Linked DNA regions of Danio rerio. The protein of the gene in region 1 purifies or fractionates together with the protein of each later gene. This does not show direct contact. Links are inferred from orthologs where the notes say so. Each region holds a gene or a part of one and is shown on either strand. Other genes may lie near its edges.

Evidence for each region.
Region 2: the proteins of myh9b (region 1) and usp11 purify together in Homo sapiens (affinity purification with mass spectrometry; 3 studies listed by BioGRID, with this or other methods). This does not show direct contact. The link is inferred for Danio rerio from reciprocal best matches to the Homo sapiens genes MYH9 and USP11.
Region 3: the proteins of myh9b (region 1) and enkur purify together in Homo sapiens (affinity purification with western blotting; 4 studies listed by BioGRID, with this or other methods). This does not show direct contact. The link is inferred for Danio rerio from reciprocal best matches to the Homo sapiens genes MYH9 and ENKUR.

The regions. Positions count from the first base shown.
Region 1 is NC_133178.1:3,460,285-3,464,693, reverse strand, and holds the start of myh9b (myosin-9), read left to right. Parts: upstream 1-1,575; 5' UTR 1,576-1,977; exon of another isoform or gene 1,978-3,795; intron 3,796-4,409. UniProt on the Homo sapiens protein: Cellular myosin that appears to play a role in cytokinesis, cell shape, and specialized functions such as secretion and capping. Required for cortical actin clearance prior to oocyte exocytosis. Promotes cell motility in conjunction with S100A4.
Region 2 is NC_133183.1:10,230,036-10,233,689, forward strand, and holds part of usp11 (ubiquitin carboxyl-terminal hydrolase 11), read left to right. Parts: intron 1-573; coding exon 574-686; intron 687-771; coding exon 772-921; intron 922-3,654.
Region 3 is NC_133199.1:6,883,146-6,887,581, reverse strand, and holds the start of enkur (enkurin), read left to right. Parts: upstream 1-1,500; 5' UTR 1,501-1,693; coding exon 1,694-1,773; intron 1,774-3,607; coding exon 3,608-3,753; intron 3,754-4,169; coding exon 4,170-4,402; intron 4,403-4,436. UniProt on the Homo sapiens protein: Adapter that functions to localize a calcium-sensitive signal transduction machinery in sperm to a calcium-permeable ion channel.

The DNA.
Region 1 (4,409 bases):
CAGCGGAATGAACCGCAAACTTATCCAGCACATGTTTTACTCAGCGGATGCCCTTCCAGCTGCAACCCAACACTGTGAAACATTCATACTCTCTCATTCACATACACTACGGACAATTTATCTTACCTAATTCACCTGTACCACATGTGTTTGAACTGTGGGGGAAACTAGAACATACAAACTCCACTCAAAAACGGCAACTGACCCAGCCGAGGCTCGAACCAGCAACCTTCTTGCTGTGAGGCGACAGCACTACCTACTGCGCCACTGTGTCGCCTAAATAAAATAGTAATAAAATAAAAATAATAAAATATAAAATAAACTTATGATAATAAAAAATAAAATACATTAATAATAACAAAATAAAATAATTAAAAATAAAATATTAAAATAAAATAAAAATAAAGTAATATAAAAATATGTTTTCAGTTATATAATATATTAATATAATATAAAATAATAGCGTTTTCAGTTCAAAATATAAACAAAATTATGTTTTACTGAAACTAAAGAGTTTCAGGAACAAGAATATAATGCTAAAAATAAAATAATAATAATAATAAAATAAAAATTATAAAATAAAATAAAAATCAAATACAAAATAATAAAATATAAAATAAATTATTTTAATTTACATTATGTATGTCGCCTAGTATACATAGTATTATGTAATTTGTTTATATTGCTAGTTGCTGTATTAGAAGACGTACACAGCAGATTAATTAAAGTACCCTACTATAGTTCAAAAACACTACTATACATAATTATAGATTTTTAAAGGATAAAGATTTCAATAAACATTTATTTTTATGTGTGCTGAGATGTGTTATTCGTTCAGATTTGCCTGATTTTAGTTTGATTTTTCATGCGTTGAATTGACTAAGTGTCAATGTGTTTCTGAAGTTCATAGCTAGCTGAGAAAGCAGCAATATCATCAATCAGTCCTTTAAAATCAATGGTTTAATACACATGCCTGTTATTATTCAAAAGCTGCATCAAGCATTGTATGATTTTCAGTCAAATGATATGCAAATCAATGAGATAGACGCACAGATAGAGATTGATATTATCTGTGACGGGACAATATTGAAATATCGTGTAATAATAGTAGGCTAAAATAAACTATCCGTACATAAATATTGAAATGATCCAATAAACTCTGTAAATTGTGAAATGCCTGTCAACACTGACACCCATTATGTATTTATTTATTTAAAAGAAGGAGAGAAAGTTCCTGATTCCAGACATTCCTCCATTCCTGCGCGTGTGTGTGTGCGTGTAAACACGGTCCGGCGACTTATATGGTCACAAAAGCCCAAAGTCGCGCACATACCTCAGACATTAAGCACACATACGGGGCCCTGCGGCCCAACTATTTCAAGTTCACCCTGTGACGCGGACTTTTACCCGCTCTGGCACGCCCACACGCCGCCTGTCATTGGCCGAAGCCTTCGGGAATGCAGAGCGAGCGGACTGTGATTGGCGGAGATTCAGGAAAGGGGCGGTTACGTGCCGCAGACTCCGCCCCACCGGGACCGCACCCCGAACCATTACAGCAGGACGGAGTTCAACTACGAGTGGAAGAGGGAGGGAAGAGAAAGAAAGGAAGAAAAAAAGAGAGCCGAGTGAAGAGAGCCAACTTGTGCGCAGCTTCAGTGGATTGAAAAGGGAAGTCTGGAGCACGCGACACGGATCCACACTGAGCCTCTGGAGTTTCTGACAACCATCCCCCGAACTCCGAGCGTCTGCATCTGATTAGCAGGTAAAGCACCGGGTGGACGGTTCCGTTTCCTCCGCAGATCCATTCAGTCGCCGCGCGGAGAAACAGGAAGCGCAGCTAGTGTGAGCAGCGACCTGGAGTGACGCGGCCTGGTTTTGCTGCACTTGCAAACTTGTTGTGGTGAAATCGTTACGGTTGATCGATATTTCTTGCGAAGATAACCTGTGACGCGTCCGATCGGCACGGACAGCCGCGCGGTGAGTTTCAGGAAGTGCTCGAGCGCAGAAACACCGGCTCGCGCGGGCCTCAACGGGCACGCGGAAACCCGTTAATTTTCACAGAAAATGCTGTTTGCGCGAAAGTAGGGTGCAGTGCGACTGCAAACGGAGCATGATGTCATTGAGCGCTAGCGAGTGACGTTTCACGGGCGCTCATTACGTCATCGCTCGCGTTAAAACTGGGCCAAGCGGCGCGTTTTCAGTTATCCGCCCGATTTTAAGGACGAATCTGTATTAGCGGTTTGTTAACACAGCAGGAAAGTAAACTTGGACGCAAATAAACGTAGTTTCTGACTCTTCTAGAGAGTTCTAGTTAGTTACAGACAGATGGAAATAGGTTACGCGCGCTCCCAAAGTTCGATGAGGGTGTGATCGCGCTGCGTGCTCCCGCAGACATTGGTGCGCGCTTTCTTCAACCGGACAAATTTCATTTGTGTGCAAGAAACTTGGTTAATATTTGAAAGGAAGAGTGCACACGGTCATTCGCGGGGGCGCGCTGCGCGAGCTCGTCCTTCTGGTGTGTGGCCTTGTTGCATTTCTGTGTATTTTGATATACGTGTTGTTGGCTGCTTTCTGAATATGTGTCCAGCAATTAGCATATTTCATTTCAGAAACCCTCTAATGCTTTATTGGTTCTTGATTGTTATGAACAGGATGTTGATGAATCTCTGAAGTGAGTGATTGGCAGCTACTTTAGCTTTATGCTCAGATTTAGTTGTGATTTTGTCGGGTGTGTCTTATAACCACACAAATCTGTGTGTAATCCATGTGAGCTCTCAGATTCATGCTGATGTGAGTGTGTACTGCATTTATCTTTGTCATCATTCTGTTTGCTGCTAGTAATAGTGTTATAAGTGTGTGTGTGTGTGTGTGTGTGTGTGTGTGTGTGTTATTCAGTGCCATAGAGCAAATAATATTATTGAAATGAACACCAGTTTCACTTTCTTAGAAGACGTCTGCAGTACACACCTGACCTGTGTGTGTGTGTGTGTGTGTGTGTGTGTGTGTGTGTGTGTGACCTGGTTTTCTTTGAGCGAGTATGTCTAGGACGTTGTGACCCAGTAAAAGCACATGCTGGTCTCATTCTGGATTTTGTTGTAGCTTCTCTTCATTGGTTAAGGAAACGCATAAGACTCCCTCAATCCCTGCGGCATTTATACTGCGCACAGAGCTGCTGCGTCCAAGTCCTGTCCAAAAAATCATATTTACGAGTCGAACTCAACCACAACATCGTAATTGTGGGGAACAGTTTTTCGAGGCCTAAAGCTTCTGAGTTCAATACAGACTCAGTGGATATATTTATTTGGTCAACAGTTGACTGTAATTTAGTTGCAGCTTTTAAAATTGCTTTTTAGTGCACAATAAAAGTTGCATATGATGTAGTGGAAGATGTAGTAATTCAATGTATACATGCAGAGATTAAATAAATGCTTAAAAGAGCAAATGCACTATGCTATATCCATCATTATATAGAGATTGCTTAAATAAGTGTAAAATGGTACTTTGCCAGCTTGCTCTTGGTTTGAGTGATTTGAACAAATCTGACAGGGTAATTATGCCTTGTCAACTCCTAATGATGAACAAGAGGACTTTAGCTAATGTGTTTGTGTGCGTGGAATTTGTACAGCTATTGTTTTCCAAGTCGTGCATTAAAAGGTGTGAGCATGACCACTCTTTTATAACTTAGTATGGTCCATTATTTGTCTGATATCAAATTAAACATGAACATGAAGTCAGCACCTATAGCCTAGTGCACTGATCATCAACTCTCAGTAATGATTAAGGGTGCTTTCACACCTACACTTTTGTTTCGGAACGTATCTCGTTTGCCCAGTTAGCGCGGTTCGATTGGCATATGTGAACAGGGCAATCGCGCTCTGTCCCGCGCCAAAGTAATCGCTCCGAGATCGCTTGAATGAGGTGGTCTCGGCTCGATTGAAACGAACCCTGGAGCGGTTCGATTGCAGTGAGAAAGCGATCTGATCCGAGCGCGGTTATATCACAGTGTTTTATGGATATGTAATAGGCTTACGGCTATATGAAGAGAGAATTATGAGTAAGGCGGGAAGTTTCGTGAGTCTCCGGATGCCCGCAAACGAGTGATGATCTCCCGGTAATCTCGTGTCTCTCTCCCAGTCCTCAAATAGGCATCATCGCGCACCCTTCTCACCCCTCCCCACCGCGTCTATCCTCAGACACGTCACGCGCGCGCACCCTGTCAATCACCACCAAACCACCACCTCTCCTGACAGCTGAGCGGGACGCTGCAAAATAAACCCTGACACTCTGACCAATGTAAGGAGAGTTTACTCGCACGTGACTTGTTTTAGCTCTTTTGGTCCGATTAGAAACTTTGCAGTGTGAAAGCGAACCGCACCAAGAGCAAAGAGCAACAATGTAACAATTCTAAT
Region 2 (3,654 bases), on another chromosome or scaffold:
TGAAAATCAGACAAGCAGATAAAGGTATACGAGCCTGTAACTCAATGACGGAAAGGACTTCAAATTAGTTGAAGCATTGCAAATGACTAGGCCCACCCGGAATCTATATGACAAACTTGCTTTATTTACCAAATAAAGTGAATCTAATTGGATTTGCATTTTAAACATTAAGTAAAAGTTCAAAAGATATTATTTTTTATTTCATATATTAAGGTATTAGTTATGATACTCCCAAAATAATTCAGCAGAAATCTGCAGACTTTTACCAAAATTCTCTGCAGAAATAGCAAAAAATGTCCACAGATTCAGTCTGGCCCTACAAATGAGACAAAAATTAAAAATATCAGAGAAATTAAAGAAAACATTTAAGCAGAAGTTAAATATAAAAACAATATATCTAAAATGTTCTTGTGTGGATGTCTAAATTTTTATGATACGCAAACTTTTCTTTAAACCAGTATTAAACTAAAATCAAAATCCATTCTTCATTGACTATGTTCTGTCTTGTCTGTCCAAGCTGTGCAAACTGTATCTTTTCTATTGCAAACATGTGTTGTTTCTTTATTTCTGCAGAAATATATAAAGCATCAAAGCATGGATGTACCTCACCAGCAAACAACAGTTCAGCTGCAGGAATGTATAGAGCTCTTTACCACCGTAGAGACACTGGAGGAGGAAAACCCTTGGTAATCACAAATTCCAGACTTTGATCATTTCTAGTGATGTACTAAATCTTCTGCGCATGTAACTTTTCTTTTCTGTGGTATGCAGGTATTGTCCCACATGTAAAAGACATCAGCTCGCCACTAAGAAATTGGATCTCTGGTCTTTGCCGGAGGTTCTTATCATCCATTTAAAGCGATTCTCCTACACCAAATACTCTCGAGAAAAACTGGACACAATTGTGGAGTTCCCATTGCGGTAAGATCAACAGTGATTTATTTTATGATTCATTTTTAAGTTGTGTTCACGCTTGGCAGGTTTGGTGCACCTCAACCAGAGGAATTGAAACTTATTCTAAATAAACTCCAAACTCCAGAACATTGGCATCTAAATGATTGGAAAACTGGCATAAAAGATATCACCATACATGTAATAGAATCCTCATTTTTCCTTGTCAAAGACAAAATGTTGCTTACAACAGTTTAATACAGGTGAAAAATAGGCCATTAAAGGGAAAGTTCAGCCGAAAATAAAATATATTTACCATTTACTCACCTTCAAGTTGTTCTAAACCTTGATAAGTTTCTTCACTCTGTCGAACACAAAAGAAGATATTTTGAAGAATGTTAGTAACCAGTAACTTTCATAGTTGAAGATACTAATACTGTGGAAGTCAATGGTTACAGGTTTCCCACAAAAAATCTAAATAACTTCTTTTGTGTTCAGCAGAAGAAAGAAACTTGAACAGGTTGAAGGGTGAGAAAATGATAACAGAATTTTCAGATTTGGGCGAACTATCCCTTTATATACCTTTTTTTTTCTTAAAGTGCATGTCATGTTTGTTTTTCGAAAAATATTTTATCAGAAAGCCGTGTGTATATAGACTATCCTGACACTAAATGCAACAAATTATACATGACCGTAATAGTTTGATTAAGGTTGATTAAGTTTACACCATACCTGTCAGCATTGGGAAGTGAATATAAGGGATATACCCACCATAATAAAGGATCCTCCCCCCTTTAAAAATCCAAATTTTTAATTACTAAATATGTTCATTTAGAGCTGTTTCATTGTAAATAAACCGTTTAATGGTCAGTAATATGTTTTATTATTATTATTCACAAAAGAAAAAATAAATATGTACATTAGCAGCAAAAACATTAGCTAACAGTTCAGCTTATTAAAATGAATACCTGTTATAATGAAATAGAATCAAGCTATCAAATCTCATTAGCCGTTTCTTCCCTGTATAACTTACATATTCTGATTAAAGAGCAACGAATGAATCTTTTATGCTCGTTTTTTTTTGTTTGATTACATTAAATAACAGGTGTCACTTTAAAAATGCACACATCTAACAATTTAATGAAGGTATTTGACTGCTTTCCTAACTTTTTATGCTCATTTAAGATAAAATTAGTTGGGTTTTTAAAAATAAACTCCAAGATCGACATCTTTAGATATTATTATTATTATTATTAATTATGTGTATATGTCTGTTTAAACACGCACCCAAAATCCAGATTTTCGCTCCACTTCAAATTGCGTGTACAAAATCCTTTTGGGAAACAGCGTCTGTTTATCACTATAGAGCGCGTCAGCTGAAAGTCATGCATCATTATATGAATGTTTTGAGGATTGCATAGGAGGGGTGACGGCACCTGTAATGAAAAGGAAGGGCAATCGCGCCATTTTTATGTTTATTTCAAAGTTTTTTAGTGCCTAAACAAAGTGAAAGCACGGAACAGAATCATATTTAAGAGCAAGGGGCGGCCCCTTGTGGTCCGGCGGTATGGGTTACATATAGGGATGCTCGGCTCTTTAATGTTTCTTGCCACCCTTCAGAGAAACACTGAAAATATGTGAAAAAATACGGGATGCTAGCGGGATAGAACTGTAAAATACGGGAGATTCCTGGGAAAAACGGGAGGGTTGATGGGTATGGTTTACACTCGGAGAGCAGCATTTGCACTGGATCTTTAAGTCCATAACATTGTAGTGATATTAACATACTGTAAACTTAGTAAATAAATCATTTTGACTAAGGTCTGTCTTTAAAAACTAAAAGGGTACTGCTGACGATACGAACTAACTTTACCTTTGAATAAACATAAACAAAGAACACTGATCGCTAACTTACCAAATCTGTAGAGACATTTCAATCAACACAAACTGGAAACAAGTCTTTTTTTTTTAAAGGAGTCGAGCGGCAAATCCGGATTTCACCATTTTCAGATGTGAAAAGCTCTCTGGTAAAAATGTTCCTTACAAACGCATTTCTGCTGCGTGTCACGTGCACTGTAATCCACACGTGAGTCCAGCTGCACTCTCATAGCGGGAAAATGAAAACAAACCTTCATTGCAGCAAATTATAAAAGCAACACTGATGACCCCTATCTCCAAACAATTCTTGTTTTTCCACTTAATTTGGCCGTCTGAACACTGTAACAAGTAAAAACAGTCTTCGAAGCTATCATGCACATTAATGAAGTTGCACCTCATTCACAATAGAGCGCGCTGATTGGTTTGAACCAAGTCTTTTTCATGAATAAATGCTGAAACCTCAAAGACGTCACGTTGTACTCACCAGTACAGACAGCCATTTTACACGCGGGAATACACGCAAGAATATAATCGCCGTGACGCAGCTTCAAAATATAGTTTTAAACCGAAAGAACGAATTTGCTTGAAATAACGCAAAACTAACCAATTTTCACTGTTTTGTGAAATGTATGTCCTAATAGTGTTTATAGCAGTGTGGGACACACATATGACTGTCAACAACTCAAAAAATGTGTTGGTGTTTCGTGACCCCTCAATAGTAAGTAAGGTTATAATTGGGTTTAGGTCATGGGTAGGATGAGGGATGTAAAATGTGATTTTACTTTATAAGTGCTAATAAACAGTGAATATCTTAATAATAGGCAGGTATTATTATTATATTAATTATATTATTATTATTATTATTATTATATTATTGATTATTAT
Region 3 (4,436 bases), on another chromosome or scaffold:
AATATGGATTAACATGGATTCATTGATTGCAATAAGAACAAATAAATACTATAATGATTGACTGGTGGTGGTGTGGGTATATATATATATATATATATTTTTTTTTTTTTTTAAATTTATTTATTTATTTATTTATATATTTTCTTATTGCGATCAACGAATGATCTGATGATCCCTGATGATTGTAACACGCTTTAGGTGTATGGCCATACACAATATATGCACTATATAAATGCACTTTACTTACTAATTGATTAATAATTTGTCACACAATATGTAGGTTTAAGTATTAAAAAATCTATCTCTCTATCTATCTATCTATCTATCTATCTATCTATCTATCTATCTATCTATCTATCTATCTATCTATCTATCTATCTATCTATCTCTGTATAAATGACAGAGTACTAATATATATATATATAATATATCTAATATATATATATACAATTCAAAGAAAAAGAAAAAACGGATCAGTGGTACAAAGAAAACAAAATATAAATGAGACAAATACGTTGAAGGTTATTTCTTATATATAATGTCAATGTCTATATATATGTATGTATATATATATATATATATATATATATATATATATATATATATATATATATATATATATATATATATATATATATATATACATTAAAGCAAATATGCTGGTGAGAAAGTTTTACTTGTGTTCAGAGCAGGTTAAGGTAAACCTCTTTAGAAATGATTGCAGTTCTTTATACACAGATCCTAAATGGTATTAATTAAAAAAATGATCTTTCATAACCTGCAGATTGCATACAATGATTGTATGAGGATTTTTCTTAAAAACATAGATGTGTAGTCAGGTGAATTATTTTGTAAGGTCATTGTTTGCTTTGGTGAGAAATTTCATCTGTCAGAATTCTCAGAATAGCATTTTACTGTTGTTGATCAACCCTATGCTTGCTGAGGTGCATACTGTGTGGTTTGTAGCCTATTGTTTGGTCTGTCTTTTGTACAATTGGACCTAGTGTCTTGAGAGTATTAAACATACAATATGTATAAGCATGCGTACTAAAAAAGGGTAAGGGGCTTGTGGAATTACAGAATCTTGGAGATTTCAAGTAAAAGAACAGTTAGATGGCTCTTTTATAAGTACTTTGCTTAATGTTGTTCGTAAGAATAGCTGGATAAAAGGGTTCTTGGTTAGTAAATGTGCATTATGGATCTTTGTAAATATTCTCAAAATTCACATTACATAGATTTACACTATTAACTGCCGAAACTATTACGTTTAAAACTAGCAAAGTAAGCAAGGTTTACCTAAAACGGCGTCTATCTGTCTAGTACAGGATTTCACGTGCGCTCACAGTGGCTGCTTTGTAAACAAACCCTGGCAATACGGCAACTGCAAAGGGACATTTCTCGTTTACTGGTTTAATAAACGGCTTGTTCCTTCAGCTTTAAATCATAATAACGAAATAAATCTTTAGCTTAGCATGTCGTTTGTTGTAGTTATATGTTTAAAGAACATAAGCTAAAATAACGAAATTAATATGCGGGAAATAATAAAACACGAGAGAAGCTGTTTGTTTAACATTGCTTGGCAGCAGTTGTCATAGGGACAGCTGTAAAACAACGCCGAAGAAACACGTCTTCATTCATATCGCAGTTCTATTTCTCTCTTTCTTGTCATTTCTCGTCTCTGTCATCGGGCATCATGAGCGACACCATTTATCCTGCAGAGAGCATCTATAATCTGATCCCCAGAGAGGAAGAGAAAACCATGAAAGCCCCCAGGTAACGTTTGAGTTCCAGACTTATCAATAATAAAAGGCCTCAAATAATAAATTGAGGTAAAATTGGTTTTATTGTCGCACATTGGTTCATTTATGAATAGTGATAACTTGAAGGTGTGAAATCACTTGTTTGACTTCAAAACAAAACTAACGTTAGCCATATTTAAATGGCTGTGATCAATATGCTTACTTTAATAGTTGTTTGTTGCTATTTTTACTTTGATTTCCCCTACTACGAAGAATACTTTAATGAAATTATATTAGCGAGAAAGTTCAAATGTGCGAATATTTGCCCCAGTAAATAATAATTTGTCATGGTTTTATATTTTACAACGTAGTTGTTTGTTTCATTATAACACTGTCTACTCATTTCGTTACTATAGCAAATGTGAATATGATGATATATCAAAAATCTATTTTAAAAAAGGTATATTATATTAAAAATATAATATATAAGATATATTTAAAAAAATTTCAAGTAAATTTGAACTTCAATATGTTCTGTTTTAGGAGAACGTATGTGAATCATCACCTATATCCCACAAACAAAGCAAAAACTGAGGTAAAGTTGGTTTTATATTTGCACATTCATGCAGATATATTGTTTACCATGGAGCTTTGAATATTCGGCCTCAAATCCCATGTAATTTATGACTTCAAAACAACATTATCTATATGACTGTGAACATTTTTGTACTTTGATAGCCATTGACTGCTAATATGATTTCTCTATTTGGAATTTGCAAATACTACCTTTATGAAATCATATTATTAACAAGAAAGTCTGAACTTGCGAATATAAAACCAACTTTACCGAAATTAAGCAAAAAGCTGTCGGCAGTACAGAGAAAGAATTGGTAAATGTGCTTTCTGTTCAGAAACTGATGCAAAATGTACTGTCAGAATGTGTTTTAAATGGGATTTCCCTCATCCCCCCATTTTATCTACAATCACCTGCCACTTTGGGTTGGACACCCTTTTGCTTTCAGAATGGCCTGGAAATATTCCTCAGAGATTTTGGTCCATGCTACATGATAGCATCACGCAGTTGCTGCAGATTTGTCGGCTGCACATCCATGACGTGAATCTCCCATTCCTCCCAGGTGCTCTATTGGATTGAGATCTGGTGACTGTGGAGGCCGTTTGAGTACAGTGAACTCATTGTCATGTTCAAGAAACCAGTCTGAGATGATTCAAGCTTTATGACATGGCACATTATGTAGCCATCAGAAGATGGGTACAATGTGGTCATAAAGGGATGGACATGGTCAGTAACATACTCAGATAAGCTGTGGCGTTAACATGACGATCAACTGGTAATAATGGGCCCAAAATGTGCCAAGAAAATATCCCCCACACCATTACACCACCACCAGCAGCCTGAACCGTTGAATTAAGGCAGGATGGATTTATGCTTTCATCTTGTTGATGCCAAATTCTGACCCTACCATTCGAATGTTGCAGCAGAAATAGAGACTCATCAGACCAGGCAATATTTTTCCAATCTCTTATTGTTCAATTTTGGTGAGCCTGCATGAAGTGTAGCCTCAGATTCCTGTTCTTAGCTGACTGCACCAACAACCACGCCACGTTCAAAGTCACTTAAATCACCTTTCTTCCCCATTCTGATGCTCGGTTTGAACTGCAGCAGATCGTCTTGACCATGTCTACATGCCTAAATGCTTTGAGTTGCTGCCATGTGATTGGCTGATTAAATATTTGCATCAACGAGCAGTTGGACAGGTGTACCTAATAAAGTGGCCGGTGAGTGTATTTGATTTGAATGAAGCACGTGTTTTCTGTGACATTCATTCAGTAGCATCTTCTTTTTTCAGGTACATGTCAAAGTTCAGAGAGCAGGTGAAACTGGAGAAACAGTCAAACAAAGCCCCTAATAAATCTATGGGACCAGCTAAAGTGGACGTCCCATTGCCACAGAAATATCTACTAAAACACTCGAAGGAACCCAAACTCCCTGAAAGTATGTGAAATATCTAATATATATATATTTTTTTTATTTATTTATTAAATTTACTTGGTTCACCCAAAAATAAAAATTTCCTCATCACACTTGAGTGGTTCGAAACTTGTATGAATATCTTTCTTCTGTTGTGTCATTGATATCCATAGCAGGAACAAAATTACTATTGAAGTAAATGACCTTTTTGTTGTTGTTGTTGTTGTAGTCTTTAGTATATCTTCCTTTGTATTTAACAGAAGAAAGAAACTCAAACAGGTTTGGAAGTTAAGGAGGAGTAAATAATGACAACATTTTCATCTTTGGATAAACTACACTTTTATTACATAACATACATATCTTTTCATACAATAATAAATGCCAATGTTTTTGTATAAATCACTAAAGATTTGTCTGATCATTAATTTTTGCTGTTTCAGAGAAACCATTTAAATATGAAGATGATGAGCTGCATTATAAACCACCAGTACCTGCTAGAACTGACAAGCCGCTCATGGGTCTTCATACCAACAAGAACTTCATTAAGACCAATGCCGTTGAGAATATCATGGCAGTCCCGAAGAAACCACAGCCGGCGTACACTGATACAAAAAAGGGAGACAAGCAACCGCTTGAAAACTCTGGTCTCGTTCCTAAATATATAAAGAAGAAGGTGAGGAGAGGGATTTAATCAGTTTCCTGCTTTT